Linked DNA regions of Saccharomyces cerevisiae S288C. The protein of the gene in region 2 interacts with the protein of the main gene of each other region in a biochemical or structural test. Each region holds a gene or a part of one and is shown on either strand. Other genes may lie near its edges.

Region 1 (3,844 bases), on a different chromosome or scaffold from region 2:
AAAAAGTTATTGACAATGCAGATGACGAGTACATGGCTTTGATGTCACAAAAGACGTTGAGATACATTAGAGCACCTGATGAAGATGTCTATGTTTCTCCATTGAACTTAATTGAAGTGTTCATGACACCTATCTTTCGTATTCTTCCACCGAAGCGTGCTAAAGATTTGAGCTATACTGTAATGACAATAGTGTACAGCCCATTTTTGTTGCTTATTTCTGTTAAAGAAACTCGGGAGGCTAGAAGGATAAAATATAACAGGATGAAAAGGTTAAACGATGATGCCAATGAATATGATACTCCATGGGATTTGACAGATGGCTACTTGGATGATGATGACGGTTTGTTTTCTGATAACCGAAATTCTGGCATGAGAGCCACCCAGTTAAAGAATTCCCGTTCGCTAAAACTGCAAAGAACAGCAGAGCAGGAAGATGTCCATTTTAAAGTCCCTAAGAAGTGGTATAAAAACGTTAAAAAATGCAGTCCCTCCTTCGAACAGTATGATAACGATGACACTGAAGATGATGCTGGTGAAGATAAAGATGAAGTCAAAGAGCTCACTAAGAAAGTGGAAAACTTGACAGCTGTAATTACCGATCTACTCGAAAAATTAGACATAAAGGATAAGAAAGAGTAAACGACATGTGTTCAAATACTGCTTAATTAATTTCTCAGAAATCCATATATATATATATATATTGCTCCTCATTGCAACTTTGTAAATTTAATGTTCCTTTAATTTATCATTATTTACAATATTAACTAATCCATCTCCCGATTTTCGGCATAAAATAAGTTTATATTTTGGTCTACATGAAAACAAAAGTTTAACTAAACTAACGTGTACAAACCACTTTGAAACGTATATAAAGGTCTAATAAAAACGACTGGCGTTTTGAAAGATAATATAATGATCTAATGCAGTTAAAAAATTTACAAATTATAAGAAGAAAAGAAAAACAACGATTACGGTAAAAAATGAAAACTCCCTCTCCTTTCTAGGTACGATAAATTATGACTTTCATCTTTCCCGTTTTGAAGATCTATTTATCTCAATTTGCCCAGACTTTTTTTTTATATATATTTATTTTCCCCTCTCTAACAACTGCAAGCACTGTTTGCGCTGGTCCCATCATTAGCAGCGTTCAAATCCACTCTTTGATTGTTCGACTCACGTTCGTTACTTGCACTATTTTGCTCTTCAGCCGTCTTCAGTGGTATCTTTTCACCGATTCCCAAAAATACATCGTTAACATTCTCTCCTGTCTTTGCACTTGTTTCAAAGAACAACAAGCCCTTTTCTTCCGCTAGCTTTTCACCTTCTTCCCTTGCGACTTTTCTTTCCCCACCTTCTTGCAGCATATCGATCTTGTTACCAACTAACGCAATGATGATATCCTTTGATGCCTGTTCATGTAATTCCTTAACCCAGTGGCGCGCTTTAATAAAGGATTGTGGTTTTGTAACGTCGTATACTACAAGAGCAGCTTGTGCGTTTCTATAGTACATAGGTGCTAAAGATGCAAATCTCTCTTGCCCAGCAGTGTCCCATATTTCAAACTTAACAGTATGTTCATTTATAGTAACTCTTTGAGTGAGGAATGCTGCACCAATGGTGGGCTCCTTATTTTCGGCAAAATCATTAGATACAAACCTTAGGACTATTGACGATTTACCAACTGCTGCCTCACCCAACAGTACCAACTTTATGGAAGTGACTGATGTGTTCATTTTTTTGTGTGATAAAAGGGATATTTTTTTATAGCTTAGATAAGTCGACGATCTTGCTTTTTATTTTTAAAATCGTTGCCACTTTTATAAGATAAGCTGCTCGTATTTTCACCTCACTTCTCTTTCTTTGTCTTTTCGGGGATATTGTTTTAGCAAAAAGCCCCATAATGCAAACCGAGAAAACCAAAAAAAAAAAAAACACGTATGAGGTGACAAGAAACTAGATAATCAGCAGACTAATATCTATAAAATAAATCCTCTGGTATATACCTACCTCAGCATAAGTTTATATCGTCATAATCTAGGTTTTGGCTTTGTTGTTGCCTCCGGGTTCATAACTATTGAAGTAGCATTGGAGACAATTGAGGGTGTTCCAGAATCACCAAAGAACGCCACTGTTACTGTCAAGTCATCTCTGTATCTTCTACTCATCGGCGATGGTATACTTACCAATGCCGATACATATTCTTTTCTTCCGCCCGCACTTAATGCATTTCTAATTAAATGAGTGGCGACGTTTTTGTCTTCAATAAGATACTCTGGGTTTGATCCTGATGGTGAGCTCGAATTATTATCCTTGTACCTGAATGCCGGTCTTTGTGCTTCCTTGTCTTCAGATACATCGATAACTTTTGGTAATTTCCCCGGTTCTGCCTTCACAGGTGCCAGATTCATATTTTTATCCATCCACCTGATAACCAAGGAAGCAATTTCTTCATTAGTTAGTAATTCGAATAAACCATCCGAACCCATCACCATAAATTTAGTGTTCTCACCAATTTTGGCAGAAGTAATCACTGGTTCCGCAGTGACATATGGGGGTGTCTTGAAATCCCTTGGCTCTCTTCTAAAATAAAGTTTGGCAACTTCAGGCAAATCCGATAATGGTTTTCCATCGACTTCTTTGATCTTGTAGCGATAGTCTCCAAATGCCCTGGATGGTTGTAATGAACCCAATATTCTTCCGTTTCTTATAACGTTTGGTTCTCCTGGATGTTCTTTCCTAATTCTCCGTACTTCATCCAAATTATCACCGGTCTGGTCGGTGGATAGCGACTTTACCGTCCAATTGCCCTCGTTGTCCAAACCACAAATTAAAGCCCTTGAGTCTCCAGTGACAGCCACTTTCAAAATTGAGTTAGTGGAGTTGTATAAACTTAATAGTGCACAAGAACCAGAAATCGCTGGTAAAGTGTTTGCAATATTTGTGTTGTTTGGATCTTGAAACAGCTTCCTGAACGATTCGATTACAAGATCATTATCTAGTTTCAAAAAACCTTTCGAAATTGCAGAATCGATTAATTGGTTGGGGTCGGAATGGAAAACCGTTTTGTTCTGGTCATATACCTGACCTAATTGATACGCTACATAACGGACTAGATCTTTAGATAATTTTTCCGAAGTGAAAGGACCACCATGTCCATCAAAAATTCCAAAAAAATACAAATCCTTCTCTATGGACTTGCCATCCTCACTTTCTATCGGAATGGTAATGATTTGTTCTACGTGATCGTCTTCTATTGGATGGTTAGAGGGCAACTGTGCCACATCATACCTGAATATACCAGTGCCACGGTTAACAAAATGGCTTTCCTCTCTATCATGTAGTTTAGCCTCTATTTTAGAATCGTTCAAGATAAGAACAGATTGGTCATTCTGAGACCGTTGACTCTTTTGTGTCTCTGTTCCTTTTGGATTAGGTGACGGCATGTTAATGTTACCACTAGTATTTGTAGAATAATCTTTTATTCCGTTAATTGTATCAAGGGAGAGGATCTTTTTAGGGGAATAGTAGGAGTAGGTCAACAGTAGGGACCCGCTTAGTAGAGCAATGTTTAGAGCTTTAGAATGTGATGATATGAATAGCTTTGTCCTTGAATAGTATGTGCTGTTGGCATGTGATGTTGAATATGCACGTTGGAGAAACTTCTGTGTGTATTCTCTACCAGATTGACATTTAGATAGAACCTTAACCGTTTTCTTTATAGCTACGGTTCTAGTTAAGGGAGACATGGAGAGATTGAGAGAAGTAAAAGCACTTCTTCTGTTGAAAAATTTCAGTAGAGCACAAATTCAATTAAAGTAGCAATAGATGTTTCTTTTCCTGCC
Region 2 (5,210 bases):
CGATTTAAATGCATAAGTACATCGATTTTTTTTAAATCATATATACACATAAAAAAATAGATAAAATGAGAGCGTAGTCTTCACAAGACCAAAAAAAAAAATGGTTCGAACTTCCTCTTTTTTACACCTGTTCGATTTTTCTTTTTAGTGTATTAGAATGTTCTTCGGCGTTAGCAGTTTCAATTGTTTCAGCCGTAGCCTCATCACCAGGTTGATCACTCGAAACTATACATTCCTTCACGTCCGCTGGTATTTCCTTTTCTGCTTTCTTTAGCTCTTCTATAACATCAACAGTTGCTCCCTCGTCTAGAACCTTCTCCAGTACCTTACTCCACACCTTCTCGTCTCTTTCAGTAAAATCCGTTAATTGGAACACATTATTTTTTTCAAGAGACCAGTCCTGCTGTTGCAAACGTATCAATTTCACCATATAACATGAGCTCCTCATAGATTTACCGATGTCGCTCACTAAGGACCTTATGTATGTTCCAGAAGACACATTAGCTTTGAAGTGCAATTTTGGAGCCCTATAAGAATCTCCTTCTTTTTGGATTTCTTGCTCTTCTTGTTCACTCAGCGGAAATGGTTCTTCTACCTTTGCCACCTCAGAATCAAGGCCGTGCTTCTCTGTATATTCTTTTGAAAAGTATAAAACATCGTTTAGCATGTTTGCATTCAAATTTTTCACGGTATCAACAGCTTCTTCTGTAGTGGGCCTCAATAAGGGATAGTCATGATCACGTTTAAGAGAGTCTGAAAACACCTTCAAGTCATAAATAGTAACTTGTCTGGGCTCAATGGCTCTAGGTAAAGGCTTTCCTTCTCGAGCATATTCATGCAGGGGTTTGCCATCCATCTTCAAAGCTGCGTATATTGGCGGCGTCTGCTTTAATTGTCCAACAAATTTTTCCTCCACAGTCTTTAAATCATCGAAATTTAAATGTTTAACGGAGTTCTGGGACAAAATCTCACCTTCTACATCTCCTGAAGTAGTGGAAACACCAAACAGGGCTTCACTTTCATAGACTTTAACGGTGCCTGAAAGATAATTTGCAAGTTTTTTGGTGCCCGCTCCAATCCCAATTACCAGGACACCAGAGGCCAACGGATCCAAAGTGCCTCCGTGTCCCATCTTTACCTTTGAGACTTTACGAAGTTTCCTCTTGCTGGCCTTCTTACCTGTCTGTTTTTCATATTGCTGCTTTCTTTCCGCTGTTGCCCTTTGAATTTCCTTCGAGAATACTTGACTTTTAGTTAAAGCATGTTGCAACTTTAGCATAAACTGATTGGATGTAATACCGCTAGGCTTCTCAATAGCAAATATTCCATTCATGTTCCCCTTGATTGAGTTTTCTTTTTATGTGATGCCCTAACTTACACAATTTACAAGCTTAGCTCATCTTTAACAAATTTTTCACCTCGCTGTTAGAAGATATCATGGAAAATTGCCAGATCAATACCAGAGAAAAAACGCCAAACAAAATTCTCTGAAATATAGATGCTCAAAAAAAAATAAGTCTGTGTATATGTATATGTTTTATATGCTAGTTAATTATCACATATTTGTTTATGCAAAAACAAAAACAGGAAGCAAAAGTTAGTCACCCTTGTCTTTTTTCTTCCTCATCTGCTTCACTTTCTCCTTGATGCTATTATTCCAATGAACTCCAGCTAGGCTCTTTTTAAACCCATATACCTCTGAAGATAATGCTTCATTGACTGCATCACTTGTTATGTGGATACCTTTATTATCTGTATTATCATTAATTGGCAAATCTGCCTCTGATGTTGAATTTCCAAGAAGTTCACCATATGTCTTAAATTTGAGACGCTGAGCGGCAACAAATTTTCGACACCTGTCTATTTCATCCTGATCTAACCTATTTAAATTAAATCTCCTTTTGAAAATGATTTTCTCAAAGATCTCATTTGGGTTCAATAATGTCTTAGGGAATGTCTGTATGACCTGAAAAATTTCCATATCGCTATCTTCTTGGCCCATTGATCCGCCTCTCTGGTTTAAGTTAGAGCCCCAAGAATAATTCAACGAATTGTTACGAGGTTTTATTTTCGAAAGGTCATGCTCGCTCAATTTTAAGACAGCCAACGAAACTTTGAATAGAAAATGTGATTCCTCGTAAAACAGACAATCCCATATTCTAAGCGTGGTCTCTATCGGCACTACACCGACAAAGCAACTCATGAACCAGCTCGCCGTGCACAAAGTAATGGGCGGAAGTCTGTACAAGAACTCATTCTTTTGCATATTGAATAAAACTTTTTTATTTGACGGAGAAAAAGTTTTGTTATTTTTTTGGTGGTGGTCAATGGAAGGCTTAATGTACGACCAAACTTCTGGAATATATTCTTTGACACATAGCATCAGTACCCCTTGGTCGATGTTAACACCTTCTAGATTGATATTATGCACCCCCGGTAGGTATCTTGAAGTAATAATCACTAGCATCCAAAAGGCCCTTTCCTCGTCTAAAAATAACAATAGCAAGCCTGCAAGAAAGTTCATAGATTGACAATAGCCAATCTTCGGATTGTAGAGAGAGAACGCAACAAGCACCCGGCGTAAAGATTTTATAATCGGAGGTCCCTCTTTGTTATGCAAGCTACTTTGGAAATGTATATTGTCCGGAAATGTTCTATTCAAGTCACGTTCAATAATATCCAAGTCTTGAACTTGTTTTTCATTAGGGTTTTGTTTCTTGATCTGCTTCATCTTTCGTAAAAGTTGTGAATAGACGCCTTTATTCTTGTTTAACTTCTCTTGCCCTCTAGCGAAATGCCACCATGCATTTCCTCTCCATTCCGCTGGAATGCCCTTTCTGACATACCTTTTTAACCGTTCACTCTTTGATGGAAATCGTGAAGGAGAATCATCGGTCACTGGCAACCCACTTTTCTCCAACAGCAATTGCCATTTGTGCTTACGGCGAACGCAGTACTGCGAATATTCTACCCACCACTTATCGTATTCTGCTTCAGATATGTAATTATTCTGTTTTTTGAAACCGTATCGATCAAAATGGGTATTGTTGATTCCATTGGAATTCGCACTTGTGGCACTAGCGGCACCCTCCAATTCTACACGCTGACGGTTGTCATCATCAGGAACCAAATCGAGGTCATCACTGTGCACTTCCTCCAGATCTTCGTTACCATTATCGCCATTATTATCATCATCATCCTCTCCTTCGGCACGTTGGGATTCCACTTCGTCTCCATACAGGTCAATAACGCTTAAATTCCCATCATGTTCAGAGGGGGATGCTTGGCCCAAACAACTTGGTTCCACAGAGCGATGATCATTCGCTCTAAAGCTTCCGTTCACCAGAGCTGAGTCGCTAGAACTATGATCTGAATGCATTTTATCATGAAAGTTAGGAACAGACGGTGATTTCACCGTAAATGCCCCTCCTAGCCTTTTGTATGGATGCGCCAGTACCGTCCTATTTTGCAGGGAGAACCTCTGTTGATCGTTCTGCATGCTAATTACAATGGTTCTGGGTGCGCAACTCTTTGACTCCTACAAAGCTTCTAGATGTCCCTTTAGCTATTTTTAGCTACTTTCTTTCTACGTGACATAAACGAGGTTTGATCCTGTTAATTCTGATACTGCCCGAACAGAAAAATAGCAGCTATTGAAAGAGAAGATGGAACCCGTTGTATCGGCGAGTAAAGATAAGTACTTTAGAAGAGCAACCCACATCGTTTAGTTACAAGAAAGACAAAAGACTGGTACTACAGATTCGGTGTCCTTTACCTGTTTTCTTCTTTCCTGTGCGCACTTAATCAGTCATTTTAGACTATCGTTTTTAGTAGCACATAAGGAGGAAGACACTCGATGAATAGTCGATTCTGCAAACATGAACTTGTGGAGACATAGTCCAGAAGAATTGGCTGCTTACAATAGCTGTCATCCAATGAAGCTAGGTTCAGGGGTGCTGATACAATTGCCTCTTTATGACAATTCGGCAGTATATGCAGAAGATATTACTTTTAGGAGTTTCTGCTGTGAAAGAGTGCCCGTTTATGTATCTACGGTGCTAAGAAACTCTTCCCCATATAGGTATCTTGATGAGGTGATCAATGACTGGCAAAAATTCATTCAAGTAAGCGATTATGTCGGCGGTTCTGCTGAGTATGCGATTTATGCTGTGATTTTGTCGATAACTTCTAATTTTGTCATCACAGTGTTCCTGACTGTGATATGCTGTATAAATATCAGCGGGCGCGCATATAAGAGAATTCTACAACTACTGAGGATAGCCTCGTTGTTAGCCTCGTTGAACTTAACGATTTTTATCACGAAGGTGTTGCGGAGATTGGAAAAAGAGCACAATGTCTATGGTGTCGTTCGGGCTCATTCCATTATGCACATCTTTTCCGATGATATGACATTTGTTGTCTTGGATTTCTTGGCTACTTTAATGTTCCAATTTTGCCAAGTCGGCATTGTCATTAGGCTATTTCAAAGAGCTCAGGAAAAGAGAATAATTTTTTTTATTGGGGTGATATTAACAATAACCGCAAATATTTTATGGGTAATTCCACCGTTTGCTAACCATACTACAAAACACAGAAATGACTGGCAGATTCTGCGGCCATTTGTTTACCTTTTCCGTATTGCCATCGCCACGTCATATGCATCAATCGTCATTTATCACATCTGGCAGAAAAAAAAATTGTGGTTTAAATTCAATCAAATGGGTTTACTTACGCTATTGACTATTCTTGTGGTGCTTCTATTACCGGGTTTCTTCCTTGCCGATGTGTCGAACTTATGGATATCGGAACTGGGTGAAGTGTTTAACACGACATGCTATGTCACTTCGACCGTGATCACATGGGAGTGGCTGGATAGATTAAATGTTTTGGAAAGAAAAGAGGAAGCGCAAAGCATTTTGGGAAGACCTATCTTCGAGGAAGAGCAACAAGACTATCGGTTTGCCAAGTACGCCTTAAGGGTTCAAAACGCTTTAACCAGGAGGGAATCTCAGGACGCATCAACGGATCGGCACGATACGTCAAGTAATTCGGAAGTATGTGATTTACAGACCATATCACGCTACGACCCAGAAGATCAGATATCAGTGGGCAGAAGCATTGATCGAATGCATTTCAATGATAGGGGAACTTATAAAGATGTAGCGCTGAAGAAATTAGGCTATGCGCGTGATAAAATTTTATACTTTACA
Region 3 (5,837 bases), on a different chromosome or scaffold from region 2:
CGGCTGAAATTTTGTTATATCTTGATATTTCTAGAAACATTAATTGGCATGCCGCAATTTGAAAAAAATGGATTGGTTTAGCTTTTTTCCTCAAGCTATTGACCTTCGATCTAAATTCACGATGAAATTCACCTATTAAGTCGAATAGTTCAGGCATGTCAAGGTGCACCAAAAAAGCAATAAGGCTTTCGTTAAAGTGAACTAGTTCAGTATCAGTGATACCTTTATCAATGATTACTCTGAATATTTTCTGTAATGATGTAGCTATATCTGCAGGATTCAATTTTGATAGCAAGAAACTCTTGTCTGACAACTGGATCTTGAAGAAATTAGGTGGCTCAAAAGGTTTTTTTAGTAAAATTGAGTCAAGTACGACCATTATTGGTCCAAGCTCTTGATTGGAGTCTTCTTCCTCAAATTCCATGTCATGATTAATGCTGTCCCTATTACGTACATTTGGCTTTGTGAAAGCGTATCGGTTCGTGGGAACCTCTACAACAGTATTGAAAACTGGTTTTCGTCTCGATTCAAGATCAGCGGAGAAACTTGAGTATATAGGTGCTTTCTTCTTCCTTCTTTTTTTCTGTGGCTTGAGAGAAGAGCTGTCATCCTGTTCTAGGGATTGAGATTCTAATTCTTCAAAAAAATAATCATCAATTACATGATTCTTCTTAGAAACAAATGAAACTGGATTATTAGCTGCCAAATGAGATTTATGCGCTGACCGTTTTCCGACTTTGATAGCTTTTGTACTTGGGGCCAGACAAGAATTTCGATATTTGTACTTATATCTTCTCACTCTCTTACTTTTTGTATTCAAAAAGTTGGCATCATTGGTTGCTTTAATTCTTTTAGGTTTAACCAACATCTTGTCAATTATACCATCGTTATGCTCTTCAGCAGCATCTAGGGAAATTACACTTTGATTATCTTCGGCAGATATATTGTATTGCTCACTAAATCCGCTATCTGAATGCCGTGAATTCAAATAAATAATAGGCTGGTCTTTATAAGACACATGTGATATGCAGCTCCCCGGTCCGTCATATTCCAGCTCATACACTGGTTCATTGCGGTATTCCTCATTTAAATTAAAACCAGAAGTTCCAGCCGATTGTGCGTCTTCACTATACTTGCTCTCATAATATTCTTGCAATTCCTTTAATTCCTTTTCGTTAGCCTCACGATCCTCTGGAAGATTTCCTAAGTATATATCTGGAGGGGCGTTTTCCTCGATATCCAGTTCGTCATCAGGTGCAATAAGATCGTTCAATAAGTTCTGTTCTTCATCTTCAATATGGGCGCTTCTGTTCATTTTCCTCTTAGCCACACCCTTATGGTTCAATAATTGAGTTTTTCTTTTCGTGACTTTTGAAGACTGCTGCTTTTGCAACGACTTTTCCCAAGCAACTCTTGGCAGGACCCCACGGTAACCAGTTCTTACATTCAATACTCTTCCTCTAAATATTACTTCGTCATTTTGAGTATTCTGTAAATTTGTACTAGCCAAGTCTTGTTCATCTTCCGTAGAATCACCTGATTGAAATACTATATCCTGGTCGAGGTCTTTAAAAGTACGATGCCTTTTCTTTGGTATTTCTTCATCACTATCATATCTTTGAGATTGAACCGAGCTGTTTTCGGGTTTAATGGAGTCGATTGTAACATCTTTCTGCTCATCTAAGGGTTTACCAGTTCTCTTTGTAAGTAAAATATCATTTGAGTGAATCACTGTAGAAGCGTTCTTCGGTAAGGTCAACTGATTCGAAATGCTGTCAAAACTAGAGATATCATAGCCCTCTAGCAACTGCCTATGCTTTATGCGTTCTAAACTGTATGGCATCTTTTGAATAGCCTTCCTCTTCCTCAAAGACCACCGAAGCCCCGTAGTAACTTGTGTATCAGTTACTACGGAAGGAGTACAAGATTCTCCAGCAGTGGAATCCAGGCTCAACCTCTCAGTGACAATTTTCTGTGATCTGCTTGCTTCTTGGACGTTTTCCTCTGCCCATAAATAATTTTCATTGAATTCGGGTTCGTATATGATACTAATTTCCTCATCAGTGGCCTCAGAATCTGATATCACAATAGGATTCGGTTCATCAACATCCATAAGCTTATCTGCTGACGCTACCACTAAACTTCAAATCTACAATCCTATCTTTTATTCTTTCACTTCTTGAATTTAATTTTACACGCAGATGCGCTTTACTCTTTGAAGATATCTCGCTAGCCGAGCTGAACGAATTTTATCCTACTATTATGCATTCTTGAGATAATGGCATCAAAACAAACCCAAGAAAAGGGAAAAAGAGTAGAAGCTGGCTGCCAAATTGGTGTAGTAATCCTCGTATTATTTTAAAATTAGATGAAGATGGCCGTGGATGACCCTACGTATGGCACCCCAAAGATTAAAAGAACTGCTTCTAGCAGTAGTAGTATTGAAACGACAGTAACAAAGTTGCTGATGTCCACCAAGCACCTCCTCCAGGTCTTAACACAATGGTCTAAGGGGACAACCTCTGGAAGATTAGTATCTGATGCATACGTTCAGTTGGGCAATGACTTCAAAGTCGTATCGAAATTCTTCATGCATGCGAAAGTTGACATGTCAGATGTTGGTGATGTGCCAATGGCTTTAAGACGTGTATTGGAAGTGACATTGAGGGAACCACCATCTGATGAAACTTTAAATAAACATCTGCCAAAAATCAGAGAGATTATAGTGACACTTTTAGACAAACTAAAGGTTAAACAAGCAATTTTGAAGAATATGCAGCAAGAGCATCGGATAAGTGTAAAATCACATCATCAACAAAACCCTTCCTTTACTAGTAACCTTTCATTGGGTAGTGAAGGGACCCGTGAGGGGACTCCATTAAGTAGCAGAAAAAGCAGTATTGTACGTGATCAGAGGCAAAGCGATTCAGTCGAAAACAGCTATGGGGAAAAAGTGAATTCTACTTCTACGGGAACACCCTCTGCTCAGTCAGCAGAGGCAACATTGACAAAACCAAGAACTAATATTAAACAAAACCTTAAATCTAACAATGCTCCAAACGCATCTGATGATGATGATGCACTTTCACAATTGAAGAAGGGAACTAATTTACAAAGGAGAGCCTCAAAGAGATACTCTGCCTACCATATGGCTAAATTGACAAATCAGTCTACAACAGAAGCTGCTGCGGCTGCCGGCCTCATGACAACTCCTTCACCCTCGATGTTGCATCTAGAGGAAACCGTAAGAAAGTCAAAGTTATACGGAAATAACAACAATGATGATGATAGAAACATTAATTCAGCTGAAAATAAGGGTAAAAGCATTGACGATGTATCAAAGGCGAGTCCATTGGCGAAAACGCCATTGCCTATTGAGAATGTTCGTGCATCTCCACGAAGATTATCAAGCGTTGTTACAACTTCGCCAGATAAAGCCATGAATGGAACTTGTCCAGTATTTTTAAGGATAGGAGACAAAACAAAGAAGTGTCATGTGCAACTGCCTACTACAAAAAACGCATTAAGGCTCCTATTTATTGAGCGCTTTGCGTATTCTCCTGGAGCAAATTCCTTCCCAGACATATATATTATGGATCCTCAATATGGAGTATTCTATGAATTAGAGGAACTAAATCTTCTCGATATTAAAGAAGGGTTTGTTATCGAGCTAAAGCTCGAAGAGAATCCAAATAATACGATCAAGGAATTCATTGACACAGTTAAGATGGAGATATCGAATAGTCAGAATGATATAATAAGACATTTAAAAGAAATGAGTTTTGGTTCTGCAATTAGCGGCAAGCAAACGGAAGTTTTACCACAACCTGGCCTTGAAGCTAACAAACACGATCTTGTGGGGCAAAACAAAAAAGATGATGATAAAACGATCAAAGATATTCAGTACGAATTGGGGAAAATAAAACAAGTGCATAATATTAATAGGTCAAATATTAATGAGACTATTTTCAACATTTTACGAAAGGTCGATAACTTTAAGTCTTTATCATTTTCTGCCAAAAACTCTTCCAACAGAATGTACATGGAAAAATCACAGACCGAACTCGGTGATTTATCCGATACTCTGCTAAGTAAAGTAGATGATTTGCAAGATGTAATCGAAATTATGAGGAAAGACGTTGCTGAGCGTAGGTCTCAGCCCGCTAAAAAGAAGCTAGAAACCGTATCCAAGGATTTAGAAAATGCCCAAGCAGATGTACTTAAACTACAGGAGTTTATTGATACTGAAAAACCACATTGGAAAAAAACTTGGGAAGCTGAGCTCGATAAGGTCTGTGAAGAACAACAGTTTCTCACGTTGCAGGAAGAGTTGATTTTAGATTTGAAGGAAGACTTGGGTAAGGCATTAGAAACTTTCGATCTTATTAAGTTATGTTGTGAAGAACAAGAAAAAAACCCTTCGAGATCAAAAAGTAATCCTATTTTGCCTATTATGAGACCGGGCACATTTAATCAGGTAAGGGAGCAAGTTATGGTGGCCGTCCAATCTTTAAACCCTGACCACGATAGTAGGGTCGAAGCTATTGACAAGGCTGAGAAGATGTGGGAGATGGAAAGAAAACTTAAAGCTAGTAATGAATTTGATGATGAACTGGAAAATTTTGTGGGTAATTCAAACCTGAAAAAATCGGGAGGCTTTGAAGAAGTAGAAAGGATAAGAAAGCAGAAGGATGAAGCAAATTTGAGAGCATATTTTGGGCCGGGGTTTACTTAAATACACTAATTTTATGAAAGCTAACGGAAAAGAGATTAGTGCTTTTGGCTTATTACAAAGTTTGCGGCAATATTTTCCTTATCAGCATCATAAGCTGTCAGTATTTCATGTATTATTAGTACTAATTAACTATATGTATATATATATATATATATGCTTGCAAGTGTTGAATTTCCTTTCTCAAAAGAATGATATTATCTTTAAATTTTGATGTGTTTGAAGATAGGCTTTCCAAAAATCCATTCAATATGGTGAATCGTACCTCATACTCGATTAAAGGATCACATTTCGTAATTGGACAACCGCTGACTGTCATTTCAATGATGCGTTGTAAGAACGAATGAAATTGCATATTTTGCGTAACATTAATTGATAGATCCTTAAAAGCAGATTTATAACATTCCGAAATGTTCTTTACAACATGATCAATTTGCATGAGAACGGTGTTTGTTGAATTTAAATTTGTGTCAATTGTTTTATAAGAGATTCTAGTGTTAAACAGCGCTATTAAACTTCGAAATATCCCTTTACTAGATTTCGAACGGATATGGAAATTATTCATTGTGCTTGAATGTTTCCAAACTTCCAATTCTTTAACAAATATGTGCATTGCACAAAATTGAATAACCGTATCATCATCTGATTGGGAGCTTACGGCTAAAATTTTGTCTCTATTGGCTTTCGCATTATATTTTTGAAATCCGCCCATGGCAAGCTTTTTGATATTGATCACTTGCTGTTGGTCTGTTGATATTATAAGGAAATCGTCAGCCAGTTTTAAAATTAATGTGTCCTGGCTAGGACTGGCTTTAAACTCGCTATAAAACTCCAGAAGATCGTCATACACCAAATCAACGATCGGAGCAGATAAACTAGAGCCCTGAAAAAGACCATCTTCTCTAATGTAGCACTTATCTTCAACCCACAAAGCTGTTTTAAATATTTCCATCTCTACAACGTTTATAACATCCTGATTTGATAAATGAACCGTCCTCACATTATCTATGTATAGCTCATAAGGTTTTGGTACTCTGCTAGCGTTAACAACATTAAATAACTTCAATACACCTGTATTGGTATTGAAGAAATATTGAGATCTAAC

What was found. The genes of interacting proteins can lie anywhere in the genome.
Region 1: of the proteins of MSB3 (region 2) and VPS21, one has a biochemical effect on the other in vitro, tested with the Saccharomyces cerevisiae proteins (3 studies listed by BioGRID, with this or other methods).
Region 3: the proteins of MSB3 (region 2) and BUD6 form a complex in vitro, tested with the Saccharomyces cerevisiae proteins (one study listed by BioGRID).

What each region holds. Positions count from the first base shown.
Region 1 is NC_001147.6:489,094-492,937, forward strand, and holds VPS21 (Rab family GTPase VPS21), read right to left. Parts: upstream 1,736-3,844; coding exon 1,103-1,735; downstream 1-1,102. Other genes in the region: YVC1 (Yvc1p), read left to right, coding at 1-641; type 2C protein phosphatase PTC5, read right to left, coding at 2,030-3,748.
Region 2 is NC_001146.8:78,929-84,138, reverse strand, and holds MSB3 (Rab GTPase-activating protein MSB3), read right to left. Parts: upstream 3,500-5,210; coding exon 1,598-3,499; downstream 1-1,597. Other genes in the region: pseudouridine synthase PUS4, read right to left, coding at 122-1,333; RIM21 (Rim21p), read left to right, coding at 3,879-5,210. UniProt on the Saccharomyces cerevisiae protein: Regulates exocytosis by functioning as a GAP for SEC4. Stimulates specifically the GTPase activity of YPT6. Also required for efficient polarization of the actin patches.
Region 3 is NC_001144.5:768,216-774,052, reverse strand, and holds BUD6 (formin-mediated actin nucleation enhancer), read left to right. Parts: upstream 1-2,368; coding exon 2,369-4,735; downstream 4,736-5,837. Other genes in the region: MMS22 (Mms22p), read right to left, coding at 1-2,113; EST2 (telomerase reverse transcriptase), read right to left, coding at 4,857-5,837.